Linked DNA regions of Macaca mulatta. The protein of the gene in region 1 purifies or fractionates together with the protein of each later gene. This does not show direct contact. Links are inferred from orthologs where the notes say so. Each region holds a gene or a part of one and is shown on either strand. Other genes may lie near its edges.

Evidence for each region. The genes of interacting proteins can lie anywhere in the genome.
Region 2: the proteins of TOM1 (region 1) and ZFYVE16 purify together in Homo sapiens (affinity purification with western blotting; 3 studies listed by BioGRID and IntAct, with this or other methods). This does not show direct contact. The link is inferred for Macaca mulatta from reciprocal best matches to the Homo sapiens genes TOM1 and ZFYVE16.
Region 3: the proteins of TOM1 (region 1) and CLTC purify together in Homo sapiens (affinity purification with western blotting, with the first as the bait; 3 studies listed by BioGRID). This does not show direct contact. The link is inferred for Macaca mulatta from reciprocal best matches to the Homo sapiens genes TOM1 and CLTC.
Region 4: the proteins of TOM1 (region 1) and CUEDC1 purify together in Homo sapiens (co-immunoprecipitation; 3 studies listed by BioGRID and IntAct, with this or other methods). This does not show direct contact. The link is inferred for Macaca mulatta from reciprocal best matches to the Homo sapiens genes TOM1 and CUEDC1.

Annotation. Positions count from the first base shown.
Region 1 is NC_133415.1:16,241,390-16,245,580, forward strand, and holds the start of TOM1 (target of Myb1 membrane trafficking protein), read right to left. Parts: upstream 2,801-4,191; 5' UTR 2,688-2,800; coding exon 2,636-2,687; intron 327-2,635; exon of another isoform or gene 1-326.
Region 2 is NC_133411.1:86,801,680-86,804,791, forward strand, and holds part of ZFYVE16 (zinc finger FYVE domain-containing protein 16), read left to right. Parts: intron 1-251; coding exon 252-357; intron 358-1,191; coding exon 1,192-1,359; intron 1,360-2,648; exon of another isoform or gene 2,649-2,826; intron 2,827-3,112.
Region 3 is NC_133421.1:50,315,859-50,319,358, forward strand, and holds part of CLTC (clathrin heavy chain 1), read right to left. Parts: intron 2,105-3,500; coding exon 1,941-2,104; intron 1-1,940. UniProt on the Homo sapiens protein: Clathrin is the major protein of the polyhedral coat of coated pits and vesicles. Two different adapter protein complexes link the clathrin lattice either to the plasma membrane or to the trans-Golgi network.
Region 4 is NC_133421.1:52,116,470-52,119,969, reverse strand, and holds part of CUEDC1 (CUE domain-containing protein 1), read right to left. Parts: intron 1,898-3,500; coding exon 1,771-1,897; intron 1,036-1,770; coding exon 843-1,035; intron 1-842.

The DNA.
Region 1 (4,191 bases):
CAGAAATTCACATTCTAGGCTGGACGCGGTGGCTCATGCCTGTAATTCCAGCACTTTGGGAGGCTAAGGTGGGTGGATCACCTGAGGTCAGGAGTTTGAGACCAGCCTGGCCAACATGGAGAAACCCCGTCTCTATTAAAAATACAAAATTAGCTGGGTGTGATGGCGCGTGCCTGTAATCCCAGCTACTTGGGAAGCTGAGGCAGGAGAATCGCTTGAACCCGGGAGGCGGAGGTTGCAGTGAACCAAGACTGTACCATTGCACTCCAGCCTGGGCAATGAGAGCGAAACTCCGTCTCAAAAAAAAAGAAAAAAAAAAAAAAAGATTTTCACATGCTAGAGTCCCACTGCAGACCTAGAGGGTCAGAAACTCTGGAGTTGGGGCCCAGATATCATTTGCTTTAACACGCCTTCCTAGGAATGCTGCTGAGAACCACTGGGTTAGAAAATTCCAAAGGCAAAGCTCTTTTAGCTGTAAAATTCTATTTGTGCTCTAAGGTATGATGATTTAATAGCATTCTCTTTGCACGGGAGTATTTCTTGCCCAAGAAAGGCAACCCTTCAGGGTAAGAAGAGAAGCTTGCTTTGACTAGCTGAAATCCAGAACCCAGGTGAGCTTTCCAGAAAGCCTTAAGAGTATGCGGCTGACTTTGAAGCCGGGTCTTTTATTTACTTGTTTATTTTTAAGTAGTAAGTCTTAAACTTGGCATGTGATAAAAGCAGTGGTTTCTGTAGTCAGAGAAATAAAGATGAGAGGAGAGCTGCTTTCTTTTCTCAGCTCCAAAAAACCATGACTCACTGTGGGGTGGGTGTGTCTAGGGGAGGTCGGGGGTCCTTTGAGAGGGCAGTTCCTCTCCCTGGTTCAGGAGCTTCCTGGTGTGTAAATCCTGGACTGCCACCTCCCCCTTGGAGAGCACTGATTACAAAACCCTCGGAAGAGCCACCAACAGCCACGGTGGCGATTACAACACAGAGCCGGGTCGACAAGCTTTCGTGAGGTTTGGCAAGACAGTAAGAATGGAAAGAATGTCTCGTCTTAAAGTTTTCCCAGTATGGACTTAAGACCAAAAGTCATCATCAAAAAAGATAAAGAGTGATTTCACGGAAATGCGATGGTTTCTTCATGCAAGAATGGGGAACACCCAGACCATCCTCTGGAGAAGTGTGGCTGTTTGGGTCAAGGCATGTCGGTTCTCACGGTGTTGGTGTCCAAGAACGAGCACTTATGAGACCTACTGCCCAGTGATTTCCAGGGATTCCTAACCTTCACTTGGTGGTATCTCAGGAACAATGTGGGTGTGTAAATATATACATGTATGTATGTGTATGTATATGTACATGTATGTATGTGTATATTTATATATAATGTGGGTGTGTGTATGTATGTATTTCAAGAGATAGGATCTCCCTGCGTCGTCCAGGCTGGAGTACAGTGGCGCCATCAGGGCTCACGCAGCCCTGACCTCCCAGGTGCAACCAATCCTCCCAGCTCTGCCTACCGAGTGGCTGGGAGCACAGGCACACACCACCACGCCCGGCTAATTTCTGTATTTTTGTTTTTTTTTTTGTAGAGACGGGGGTCTCGCCATGTTGCCCAGGCTGGTCTCGAACTCCTGGGCTCAAGCGATCTGCCCGCCTTGGCTTCCCAAAGTGCTGGGATTACAGTCGGGAGCCACTGCGCCCAGCCCAATGCTAATAAATATCACAACTGTTTTTTTATATGGCACTGGCCACGTACCAGGCATTGTTCTAAGTATTTCACATTTATTAAGGAATTTAATTTTCACAACAAGCCCACGGAGGTAAGGACCATTATTACCCGCCAATTACAGGTGAGGAAACCTCCGCCCAGGGAGGCTGCGTCATAGAACTATAAGTATCCTGTCACCAGGGTGCAAAGAACCACGGACCAGCACTCAGGCGCCAGGTGCCCTGGGCTCGGCTTGGCTCGAGCGCCGGGCTGCCCCACCTACGGAGCACCGAGGTGGGCTGACCCGGAGGGTTTCTCCGACCACTTTCTGCTCAGGTTCTCAGAGTCTGTGCGGGTCCATTTGAGGCTGGGTCGAGATAAGAGCCCAGGCGGACACGTCCTGAGATCCGGGTCTGTGAGGCCTGGCCGCGGGCTGTCTGGCGCTGGGTCCCCTCTGGCCAGTCGCCCCCAAGACGCCAAGCCCCAGGCTTCGCGGTCCTGGGAGAATGGACTTCTAGCCCTTCTCAGGTGTCCATGTCCGGAGAGCCCGGAGAGCCAGAAAGGAGCTGGCCAAAGCCCAGGCGGCGGGACCCAGCACAGCGGCCCAGCCACTGCCAACCACGCAGTCCCTTTAACCCCGAAAACTTTCTCCCTCGATTCGGGACCCCAGCAGACACACATTGGCTGCGAGGTGGGCATCCGGACCCGCCCTCTCTCCTTATCTACTGGCTGTCGTATACATCTATCACAAGCCAAGGCTTCCTAATGGCCCAAGTTCTTGTCAATCAAGAGTGGGAGGAAAGCTGGGCGGGGCCAAGTCGGAGAGCTACACGCCAGCCTCATTGCCCTCCCTGCCTCAGTGACTAGGCACCCGGAGGCTTCCCAGGGGACCGAAGCTGGGTGCGGAGCACCGGGGCGGAGCTGTGGGGGGCTCCAGGGACTCACCGATGCGCTGTCCCACTGGAGAGCTGAACGGGTTCCCCAGGAGAAAGTCCATTGCTGCTACTGCCGCTGCCACCAACCCCGGGAATCAGCTGACAGCAACCGCCAGCGCCGCCAACCCGTCACGTGACGCACCCGAAGGCCGGCGAGGAGGCGTGGGCGGAGCGGTGGCAGAGCGGAGCTGGACCACAGGCCCCGCCCTGACGCGCCAGGGTCCCGCCCCCGAGGCGGAGGGCGATGACCTCATCGTCGCTTCTTAGGCGGCGGCGGGCGTCACGCACGACGTAGAGCCTGGGGGCGGGGCCCGGGAAGCGCGGTCCTCTTTAAGCCACGCCCCTGACCTTTTAGGGCGGGGTCTAAAGGACCCTTTACACATTTGGGAAACTGGGTCGTAGACCAGGGAAGTGACTTGGGTGAGATTACACAGAAGCCGAGACTCTTAGTGTCACAGACCTTAGTCCTTGGGACCTCACTGTGACTGCACACCTACTCTGGGTGACAGCCTCTCTGGGCTGCTGTCTCCTTGCCCCGATAGGACTCTTCCTGTTTGATGTCAAGGTCTCCCCGCTCCAAGATGCACCCTGCTTGCAGCCCAAATTATCTTACCTTAAATCAGAGGTAAGGGCAAGGGGTTTGTCATCTACTGAGACTGAGAAATAATTGAATGAATTGCAGCGCAATTCCCTCTAGCGCCCAGGATGGCAGAAAGCGCAGATGTAGTCACGAGTGGGGCTTTGATACCCATCTCTGCCATAAATTTACTGTGTGAGCCAAACACAGCTCCCATTTTCTCTAGATACTGGAATTAGATCAAGGACTCGTAAGCATTTAAAAAAAATATTTTATTTAGGTCACAGTCTCCTTGGAGAATTTGACAAAAGCCATGAGGCTTTCTGAAGACAAAAAGCAGCGATAGAATTTTGCTTATAACCTCAGGGAGTTTCTGGGGTCCCTGAAGTACAACCGTGGACCCCAAGCTAAGAATCTCAAAGGCCTTTCCCAGCGTTGAGACTAATCTCTTCAGCCTTCCTGGCTGTGTGTGGTGTGTCTGCTGACCCCACACACTAGATACCTATCTATGGGTTATGACCTTTTCTTCTGACATGTACTCCAAAAATACAATAACCATGGCCTTAGTAGTCTGGCTACTGTGGGTGCTTTAGTATTTATTGTAATGTTTGTGGTTTTTAAATCTGAAAGACTAGTAAATTGACTGCACAAATTTTGGATGATAGAAAACCTAAATTAAGCAAGGCGCGGTGGCTCACGCCTGTAATCCCAGTACTCTGGGAGGCCGAGGCGGGCAGATCACGAGGTCAGGAGATTGAGACTATCCTGGCTAACACGGTGAAACCCCGTCTCTACTAAAAAATAGAAAAAATCAGCCAGGCGTGGTGGCGGGCGTCTGTAGTCCCAGTTACTCCGGAGGCAGAGGCAGGAGAATGGCCTGAACCGGGGAGGCGGAGCTTGCAGTGAGCTGAGATCATGCCACTGCACTCCAGCCTGGGCCACAGAGCGAGACTCCGTCTCAAAAAAACAAAAAACAAAAACAACTCCAT
Region 2 (3,112 bases), on another chromosome or scaffold:
GTATTTTAAACTTCAGGTCTGAATTGGGCATATGAAAAAGGAGATATAATTTATTGATGAACAAAAAAAGATTACTACACAATCAAGAAATCTTGGTAAATGAATATGAACTACAGATTTAATTATTTTATATATAATGGAGATATCTTCTTTTATATTTTTTCTCTTATTCCGTCTGTTCACATCTAATAATTCATTTCAAAAAACACATTAGTGCCAATAATTCTATTGTATTATGTTTTATTTCATAGTGTTACCAGTTCAGTGGATGGAATGTCATTACAAGGATTTCCAAGTGAAAAAATAAAACTGGAAGCAGATTTTGAAACTGATGAGAAGATTGTAAAGTGTACCGAGGTAGCTAAGGAAGAAGGTCCCTTTACATGCTGTGTTTCAGTATGATTTTTGTTCTTTGGAGATTGTGCATACTCAATCTCTAAATATTTATGCATAGCTTATTATACTTTTTATGCTACACTTTGAGACACACACATTTCCACCCCAGACTTTTATACACCAGAATTGGTTTCCATAGGGTTAGTTCAGGCTATCAAATGGTGGTACTGCCTACCATCTGTGTTGGCAGCATTGCCATCTTAGTACTGTAATTAATGTTACTTGACCATATTTTCATTTTCCTCAGATATTATGAAAAATAAGATATTTTATTGTCATTTATTTATAATCAGCATTCACATATGAAAGTTATTTTTTCATGCTTTAGTATTTTCTTTAAATTAGAGGATATGAAACTATAGACCCCCAACTCCTTAGTCTACCTCCTTATTCCCCCTCATATTTATTTCTTACGCATTCTTTGTGATTTTATTACATGTGCAAAATAGAACCTATAGAGAAAATAAGCACAATGGAACATGATTTGTTTTATCTTAACTTCATATAGGTGTTCTTTACAGGATAGACTCATACTGATTTAATAAGGCTTTCCTTGCTACAAATTAACTTCAGGCAAAAATTGCTGAGACGTTTCCATATTTACCATAACTTTTGGTTTTATGTTTTTACTTATAGTACAGATCAAGCTATTGATATTGAATTCTCACAACTAATGATTTTCGTGGTACTTTACATTGGAATTTAATTAAACTTGAATTGAAAGCAGCAATTGTTGCATTTTAAAGTTACTTTTAATTTTAATCATGACTTGTTGCCTAATTAAATATATTTCAGGTGTTCTACTTTCTAAAGGAACAGGATTTATCTATTTTATCAACTTGTTATCAGTTTGCAAAAGAAATAGCCATGGCTTGTAGTGCTGCCCTGTGCCCTCACCTGAAAACTCTGAAGAGTAATGGGATGAATAAAATTGGACTCAGAGTTTCCACTGACACTGATATGGTGAGGCCTGTTTTTGTGATGTATTTTTGAAATGAATGTATTGCATATTAAAATAGTGAAGTTTTTCTTCAACCTTTTGAGATGAAAGAGAATGAAAATTGTTGAGCATCAAATGTGTGCTACACACTTCACATATATTATCTGTATTAATCTCCACAACAGGGGTCAGCAAACTTTTTTCATAAAAGGACAGACAGTAACTATTTTGGACATTGTAGGCAGTATGGTTTCTTTCACAACTACTCAACACTACCGTTATATTGGGAAAGCAGCCATTCACAGTATGTAAACAAATAAGTGTGGCTATGTTCCAGTGAAATTTTGTTTACCCAGTGGGGCCAAGTTTGGCCTGTAGGCCATAGTTTACTGAACCCTTCTCCATGACTACTCTGCCTTTTATAGGTAGGTTTTTAAATTTACTTATTCTGATTAGATTCTATATGTACATGACTTAAAATCTTAAAAGTCTAAAAGTGTATATATAACAGGACCACCTCACTGAATATTTGCAGAGAGCAGCATTCACACTGTATTCTATGTAACTGGTGGACTCAAGATAATAACTCCAGACTACAATGTAAATGGTTCCCAGTAGAGTTGTATAAGGCAACAGCCTTGGAAATGTCTTTCCTACTGTTGACATCCAACCCATCAGTTCACCTCCATACTTTTCTTTATCCTCCCTCTCCGGCCAAGCAATCAGTGTTACTCATTTCTTATGTATTCTTTGTGATTTTATGCATGTACAAGCAAATAAGTGTGTGTCCTCCTTTTTCATCTCCCCCTTTTACAGATTTTTTACCTTCTTTAATATATCTTAAAGGTATTAGTACTAGTATACATTTTTTTTAAAGTGACATAGTAGTTGATTATATAAATGTACCATAATTTATCTAACTCGTTATTCGTGCATATTTGATATATGTTGATAGACATTCAGGTTGTCCACAATATTTTGCTTTTACATAGTATAAGTATATCTATAAGAAGAATTCTGAGTAGAATTTCCAGGCCTGAGTATATACTCAATAGATGTTACCATATTATCGCATATAGAGGTTATGTCAATTTATATTTATTTTCTCCAGCAATTTATGAGAGCTCTTTCCCCCACATCCTTTTTTTGAGACAGAGTCTCATTCTGCCACCCAGGCTAGAGTGCAGTGGCATGATTTTGGCTCACTGCAGCCTCTACCCTCTGGGTTCCAGCAGTTCTCCTGCCTCAGCCTCCCAAGTAGCTGGGACTACAGGCATGTGCCACCACACCTTGCTAATATTTGTATTTTTAGCAGACATGGGGTTTCACCATGTTGGCTGGACCAGTCTTGAACTCTTGACCTCACGTGATCCGCCCACCTTGGCCTCCCAAATGCTGGGATTATAGATGTGAGCCACGGCACCTGGCCTCCCCCACATCCTTATCAAAGAAGTATATAATCAAACTTTTGAACTTGGACAATTTGATAGGTAAAAAATAATACCGCGTTACTATTAATATTATTACTTTTTAAAGAGATGGGGTCTCACTGTGTTTCCCAGGCTGGTCTTGAACTCCTGGGCTCAAGCAATTCTCCTGCCTCGGCCTCCCAAAGTGTTGGGATTATAGGTGTGAGCCACCACGCCTGGCCCCCGGTGTTATTTTAATGCATATTTCTCTTAACAAGGAGTGATAATCATTTTGCATGTAAAAACAATTGGTTTTTCTTTCAACTTTCAGTTCAAATCTGTTAGGAAAATATTTCTAATTTTTTAG
Region 3 (3,500 bases), on another chromosome or scaffold:
GCTCATAATCCACATCCACACCCCTACTATATCAGGCTTGCACCTAATTCACAAGTGTGGAGGGGAAATCTTCATCTGATTAGATCCCATGGGATATGCAAACCTAAGGCAGTACCATCCTAGTACCCAGAGGATTATTTTTTATGTCTTTACTAGAGGATTTTTTTAAAGCTCAAGAATGTGATAATTAAATGATAGCAGTTAACTTCATTTTGCCTTCCATATATATGTAACTCAAATATTAAAATCCAAAGCTAAAGAAGTTACAATTTAAGCATAAAAGCTGAGGACTCAATAAAAACAAAAATCATGTAAGAATCTAGTAGTATTAACACAGGAACAGAAAACCAAATACTGCATGTTCTCACTAGTAAGTGGGAGATAAATGATGAGAACACATGGACACAGGAACAACAGACACTGGGGCCTACTGAAGGGTGGAGGATGGGAAGAGGGAGAGGATCAGGAAAAAAAACTAATGGGTTGTAGGCTTAATACCTGGGTGACGAAACAATCTGTACAACAAACCCCCATGACACAAGTTTACCTATATAACAAACCTGCCCATGCACCTGAACTTCAAAGCTGAAAAACAACAAAAAACCCCCAACACCCCCTGCCCCCAAAAGAATCTGGTAGCAGTTTTTTTTTTTTTTTTTTTTGGAAGGAAATAGTAATGATACTCACAGAAGGAAGTGAATCAGTAGTATGGGTACACTAGTCAAGCATAGAGTATCAAATCTTTCTCATCTGGAGGGGTTTTTTGATACCAGAAAGTTTTGGTCCAAACATAGCATACTAGCTAGGTTACCCAGAATATTCATGATGGCCAAAGACATTATAAAGCTACACTTTTTTGAAAAGTGTATCTTTTAATCTAAAATGTAGAGCAATTTCAACATTTTGACTACCTCATTACACTAAAATCCCTAAGGGTTTTGCTATTTCATCTAGAGCCCAGGTAGTAAATTCTTCAAAAGAACAATCTGCCAGTGCAACCACAGGCACAAATGATGATGGTCTGGGAGCAGGAAAAGCCTACTTTTTGTACTGTATTCTACAATAAACATTTTGGTTTCACTTGTAATTTAAAATTCTTCCAAGACAAAAAATACTTCAGCACTTTCTATAAAGTCTCAGGAATCATTTTATATATATATATAAAATACACACACACACATAATAGGCAGTGAGAGAGCAGTAATCTAAGTGTTCTGTAGTTTTCCTGGTCTTTTAGAGATAGCTATCAACTTTAAAGTTTTATTTCCCTCACAAAGTAACTGGTAGAATAAAGCTAAAGCTAAGTTAAACATTAAACAAAATTAACTGCCCTTAGGGATCTTCTAGAGTTCAGAATGTCTCGACCATTACTCCTCCCTGCAACACAGGTGGTCCTTACTTCTCTATAACTCATTTCATGTATCACAAAGCTGAGCATTTTGTTTGATCTTATCTTTAATTTATGAATTATATATGAAAAATATTTTAGTTTCTAGAGTTGGGCAAACTTGATGAAAGAGGTAAGCCTATACATTCCTTAGATAACAGATCCCTTTGCCTACCATAGAGGCTCCTCAAAATGGTATGAAGAGCAAGCTGATGTTAATATTCAAAAGCCTAAATGATTCTCAAATGACTCTGAAAGTATATAACCACTTTTCTAAATTTTTCCATCCAAAATTAAAATAAAGGAAATTCCTTTGAAATAATGCTATTTTTTTTCTTCTTTTAAACAGATGGTCATTCTTACTCACCGATTTCCTTCCGTATTTCAAAGGAAACCACAGAGTATTATGTTTGGAAGAAATAATCCAGCACACAACTTAAGAATGCTAACAATTTCACATTTAGGGAAAAAATATTTTTGAACTACGACCAAACCCTTGTAGAACTGCTAAACTGGAATCCAACCAGAAAACACGTTACTCAAAACCACTTACCTTAAGAAAATTCTTGACTCGCTCAGGATCATAGCAGTTGCTTTCTCTACAGATTCTTTCTACTTCTTTGATTTGCCCAGTCTTGCAAGCTGCCTGAATGTATTTAAAGTGCACATCTGGGTCCTGACTAAAGTTAACAATGGATCCCAGAAAATAAAAGAGACCTTAAAGAAACAAGTAATTACAATTAAGCATAGGCACACTTTTGAGAATGACTGAAAAGCATTTATGCAATTAAAAAACTGTTACATTGAATACTCCCAAATATAAGTTGGTTGCTTAAAAAGCTCGATAAAAATACTAATTATTCCATTAATCAGATCAGTAAAATGGATTTGCACTTTAATCCTAAAGAACAGACAATTCAACCCAATGTTTCCTTTTTTTCTTTTTTATTGAGGCAGGTCTCTGTCACCCAGGCTGGAGTGCAGTGGCACGATCATAGCTCACTGCAGCCTCAAACTCCTGGGATCAAGCAATCCTCCTACCTCAACCTCCTAAGTAGGTAGGTGCATGCCACTATGCCAGGCTAATTTTTAAGAAAATTTTTGTAGAGATGGGGTCTTGCTGTGTTACCCAGGCTGGTCTTGAATTTGTGGCCTCAAGCAATCCTCCTGCCTTGGCCTCCCAAAGCACTGGGATTATTAAAGGCATATACCACTGTGCCCCTATATGGGAAATTTTAAATGAAGACCCCAATACCTGGTGTTTTTCAATATGCAGTTTATAGGAAACATACAAAATAATTTGGGAAGAATTTAGTGCAGTATTGTCCAGAAGAACTTTCTGCAATGATGAAAATCTTATCTTTGCCCCCCGATGTAATAGCCACTAACCACACGTGGCTATTAAGCACTTGAAATGTGGCTAGAGTGACTGAATAACTAAATATTAAATTTTATTTAATTTTAATAACTTTCAATGTAAATAGCTGCTATATGTGGCTAGTGACTGCTGTACTAAACAGTGTAAAACTGTGAAAATTAAGAAAACATTAAGAAAACTAGTAGACTCTCTTACCCCTTCTCAATAGAGCACTACTACTACAAAGAGGAGAGAAAGGCAATTGAGGACCAGAACTTAGCCACCCAACAGTGATTACGTTAGTTCCCTGCATAGCAGTGGTTCTCAACTGAGGTGATTTTCCTCACAGGTGACACTGGCAATGTCTGAAGACATTTTTGGTTGTCACAACTGGTGGAGCTGACGCTACTGGCATCTAGTGGGTAGAAACCAGGAATGCTGCTAAATATTCTACTAAATATTCTACATCTACAGGAATACCCCTCTACAATGATTATCCAGCCTTAAATGTCTATAGTACTAAGGTTAAGAAATTCTGCTAAATAGCAACAAATCACAAAATGCCCTTGGCGAGAATCACCTGCTATTGTAAGAGTCAGACATATAAGCATAAAATGTTATTATACCCGATCATTAGTACAGATTGAGTATCCCCTATCCAAAATACTTGAGACCAGACATGTTTCAAATTTTCAACTTTGGAATATTCGCTTTATAATTACCTGATCAGCATCCCTAATCTGAAAATCCAATTTC
Region 4 (3,500 bases), on another chromosome or scaffold:
CAGGAGAAACACTTGAACCTGGGAGGCGGAGATTGCAGTGAGCCGAGATTGAGCCACTGCATTTCAACCTGGGCGACAAGAGGGAGACTCTGTCTCAAAAAAATAAATAAATAAATAATAAACGGAAAGGCCTTGAGCCTTCCAGCACCTTTGCTGCAGAGCTGGGGCTAACCTTGGGCCTCAGCCCAGCCTTCTCCCTGCACAACTTGCTCCTCCCCCACCAACACACCATCAGTTACACACACAAGCTCTCACGCTGTGGCCATCACAGGGACAGAGCTCCACCGCCCTCTCATTTCCTCTATCCCAAACGCACTCCCACCCTGCAGGGGAAAGGTAGCCAGGCTGGGGAGCAGGGTCTCCAACCCAGAGACAACCCAAATACCTGCAAAGTTCCAGAGCCCCTGCTCTAAGGTCTTCCACTCAAGAGCCTCCCCAACCCTGGCGTTCACGAACCCAGTCATTCTGTTCCCGGAGCTCCAGACACATCACGCCTGCCTTGGGGCTGGGGCTCTGTGAGGAGGGGCAGTGCTCTTCTCCCTGCTGCCTTGTGCCAAGGCCAGTTCCTGGCACAGAGCAGGTGTGCAAAGGGAAGAAGGCCTAAGAGTGCACACCCTTCTTCCTCTGAGTCCCGAGGGAGAAAGGGGTGGGTTAGTGACCCAGGTCCCCATAGGCAGAATTCTGAGGCTCCCATGGGATAACTTGGTGGGAGTCAAGGCTCAGTAGGACAGAAAGCACCTGGCCCCTCAGCCCCCAGCTCAGTGCTTTCCTGAGCCCCAAGGCTAAAGCCAGCATCACCTCCCTTCTTCAGCCAGGGAGAAGTGGCTGCAGGCACTGCCCACCTCTCTCCAGGGCAAGGAGGAAGTCGCGGTTTCGTTGCAGCTCCTTCATGAACTCCTCGTTCTGTAGGAAAAGCGCGATCCTCTCATCCTCCAGGTACTGCTTCCAGCGGCTCTCCTGGTCTCGGGGCCCTGGCCCAGTCATGGCAGGTGGACCTCCGTCTCCGCTCCCAGGCTTGGGGCCCCCAGCATTACCCTGAGGAGGGAGGCGAGCATGTTGAACGTGTACACACAAGGGTACATGTTGCACAAACATCCACATCCCTCTGGTTGCACACACGCCCTGTCCAAGATCCTCTAGCCCTCACCTGAGGCTCACACCTCCTAATGGAACCTAGTGGCAAGCCAAAATCCAACGGACAGGTCAGAGCCCTCATTGCAGGGGACACAGCAGTAGCCTAAAAACTATTTTTCCTCCACGCCACGGACCACCTCATACCTTCATCTACAACCTGAACAGTCCTGAAAAGAAATCTGCAAACTGTGGAACAGCCTATACGTGGATTCCCAAACTCAACCCTCTCCCGGCACCGGCAGCCTCAGGGTGGACCTGCCCCGCTGTGGGGCACCTTGGAGCATGCCAACATCTATCGAGAAGCTGCCTCTGGCCCTTTCCCGAGGGAGGAAGGGGGGTGCTCTGGCCCTCCACCATTGGCCACCCCATGCCCGCCTCTCTCCAGCCTGAGGTGACTGCTGCAGCAGACAGCCTCCTTAGGCTGCCACCTTCCCTGGATAGAACAGGAAACCTCCAGACCCAGGCAGGAAGTGAGGCTTTCAGTTCAGCATTCTTTCCCTACGAACCCAGGGCAACAGAAATAGCTCAGCCTGGGTTTAAACATCAGGAAGTAAAACTGGCTGGCACAAATTGTGTGGGCAAAGAGAGATGCTGGACAGGCAGGTGGGAGTGGAAGGCGGGGGCGGCCCCTGTTACCTGTATGCTGTCCAGCTGCTGGGGGAGGATGCGGAGAAAGTCATCCGGGAGGTTGCCCAGTAGTGGTGGGTTCCAGTTCCGATAGCGTCTCTGGCTTGTAGGGGCTGCAGAGCTCAGCACGTCGATACTAGGGGATGGGAGGTGACAGGGAAGAGGGAGTCATTAAGCCCAACCCCAGGTCTCCTGGCCCCATCACACCAGGTCCTCAGGCAGGTCAGATCCTGCTCAGAGATTCCCATGGCCTCCACTGCCCCCAGAACAAAGGCCCATCACTTTGTGTCATCACTGGAGATGTCTCCACCGGCCTCAGCGAACTCCCCAGCCATTCATGCTGTCCAGTCACATGCCCGCCCAGGTCTCTAGACCTTCAGCGCTGTCTGTCCATGGTGCACATGTGGAACTCTGTGGATTTAGCTATAGATGTTTACAAATGTGCCCTAAAGACAGCAGGGATTGTATCCTTTCATGCTTCTATGCTAGCACCTACACAGTGCCAGGCTCACGGTGCTGAGTGACAGGTATGGTCCAAAGGAACAGACACATAAGCCACCAACAGCACAGCCTGCTGCATGTTGGTTTGCTGAAGAGGGGGCATATGGGGACGCCAGGATCCGTACAGAGGGTAAAGCAGATCCAAGCTCCAGTTCTGGCTCAACCATCAGCCGGCGGGGTAGTCTTAGGTGGGCCCCTGTTCCCCTCTCGGGTTCGGTTTCCTTAGCTAGAAACTGCTGCCTCCCTGCCCAGGTACTGGGGAGCCCCTCAGGAGGCCATGTCCTGAGCAGTGTTCTGAAAAGTGTGTGGAGAGGTGAGTGTGGAAGGGATCTCCCTCTCAGGGTGCTCTGGGACCACTCTTTCCAGGCCTGGTGTGTGTGTGGCAGGAGCTCCGTGCCATGGCAGAGCCAACAGCTGGGCAAGGCAGTAGAGGAAGAGGGGGTGGCACACACACCCTCCCTGACCCCCAGGCTCCCGCCCTACCGCCCTGGGCCTGAGGGCAGCTCGGAGCCCAGCCAGGAGCTCCCCACAGCTCCATGGCAGCCTGCAGCGTGGCAACCGCAGGACACGTGTTCCGCTGAGTCAGGGAAACGGCACACTGAGAAGGCAGCCGAGGGCCGGGCGGTGGGGGCCGCTCTCGCTCTCTCGGGCCTGGCTTTGATTTGGTCTCCAGCTCCAGGAATCCCGCCCGCCCCCTCACTGGAGGGGAGCTTTTCCGGGCTGCAGCTGACTATGGAAATAACTTCCTTTCCTTTTCTATTTTGGGCGGGTGGCCGGCGGCGGGGGCGAGGGGAAGGGGCGGGGGCGGCAGCAGACGGGATAACCAGCTGCTAAGTGCCTGGTGGGAGCTCAGCTCTTGCAGACTGGAGCCAAGGGAACCCCAGCACGCCTCGTCCACCCTCTGGCTGCACAGACACAAGGGGAGAGGGAATGGTCTGGAGAGGAGCTTGCATCACAACCCGGGACTCCCATTCCTAGGCCAAATTTTTTCTACATCACTGCCACCTTCTGCCACTGTTGGAGGCTTCATTTTTCTCCAAAGGCCAGAGATGGGGAGTGAGGAAGCCCCATCTCTCAGGGACTCGCAGACCACCCCAGGCTACAGCAGGGAGGGACCCTCACCAGGGGTATTACCCGTTCTTGGGGTCTCAGGGTCTTCATCTGGGACACGGGTGCCCACCCCCAACTTAACCACACCTCGGAGCCACCCAGGAAAGCAGCGGAGGGAGAACCTCAGA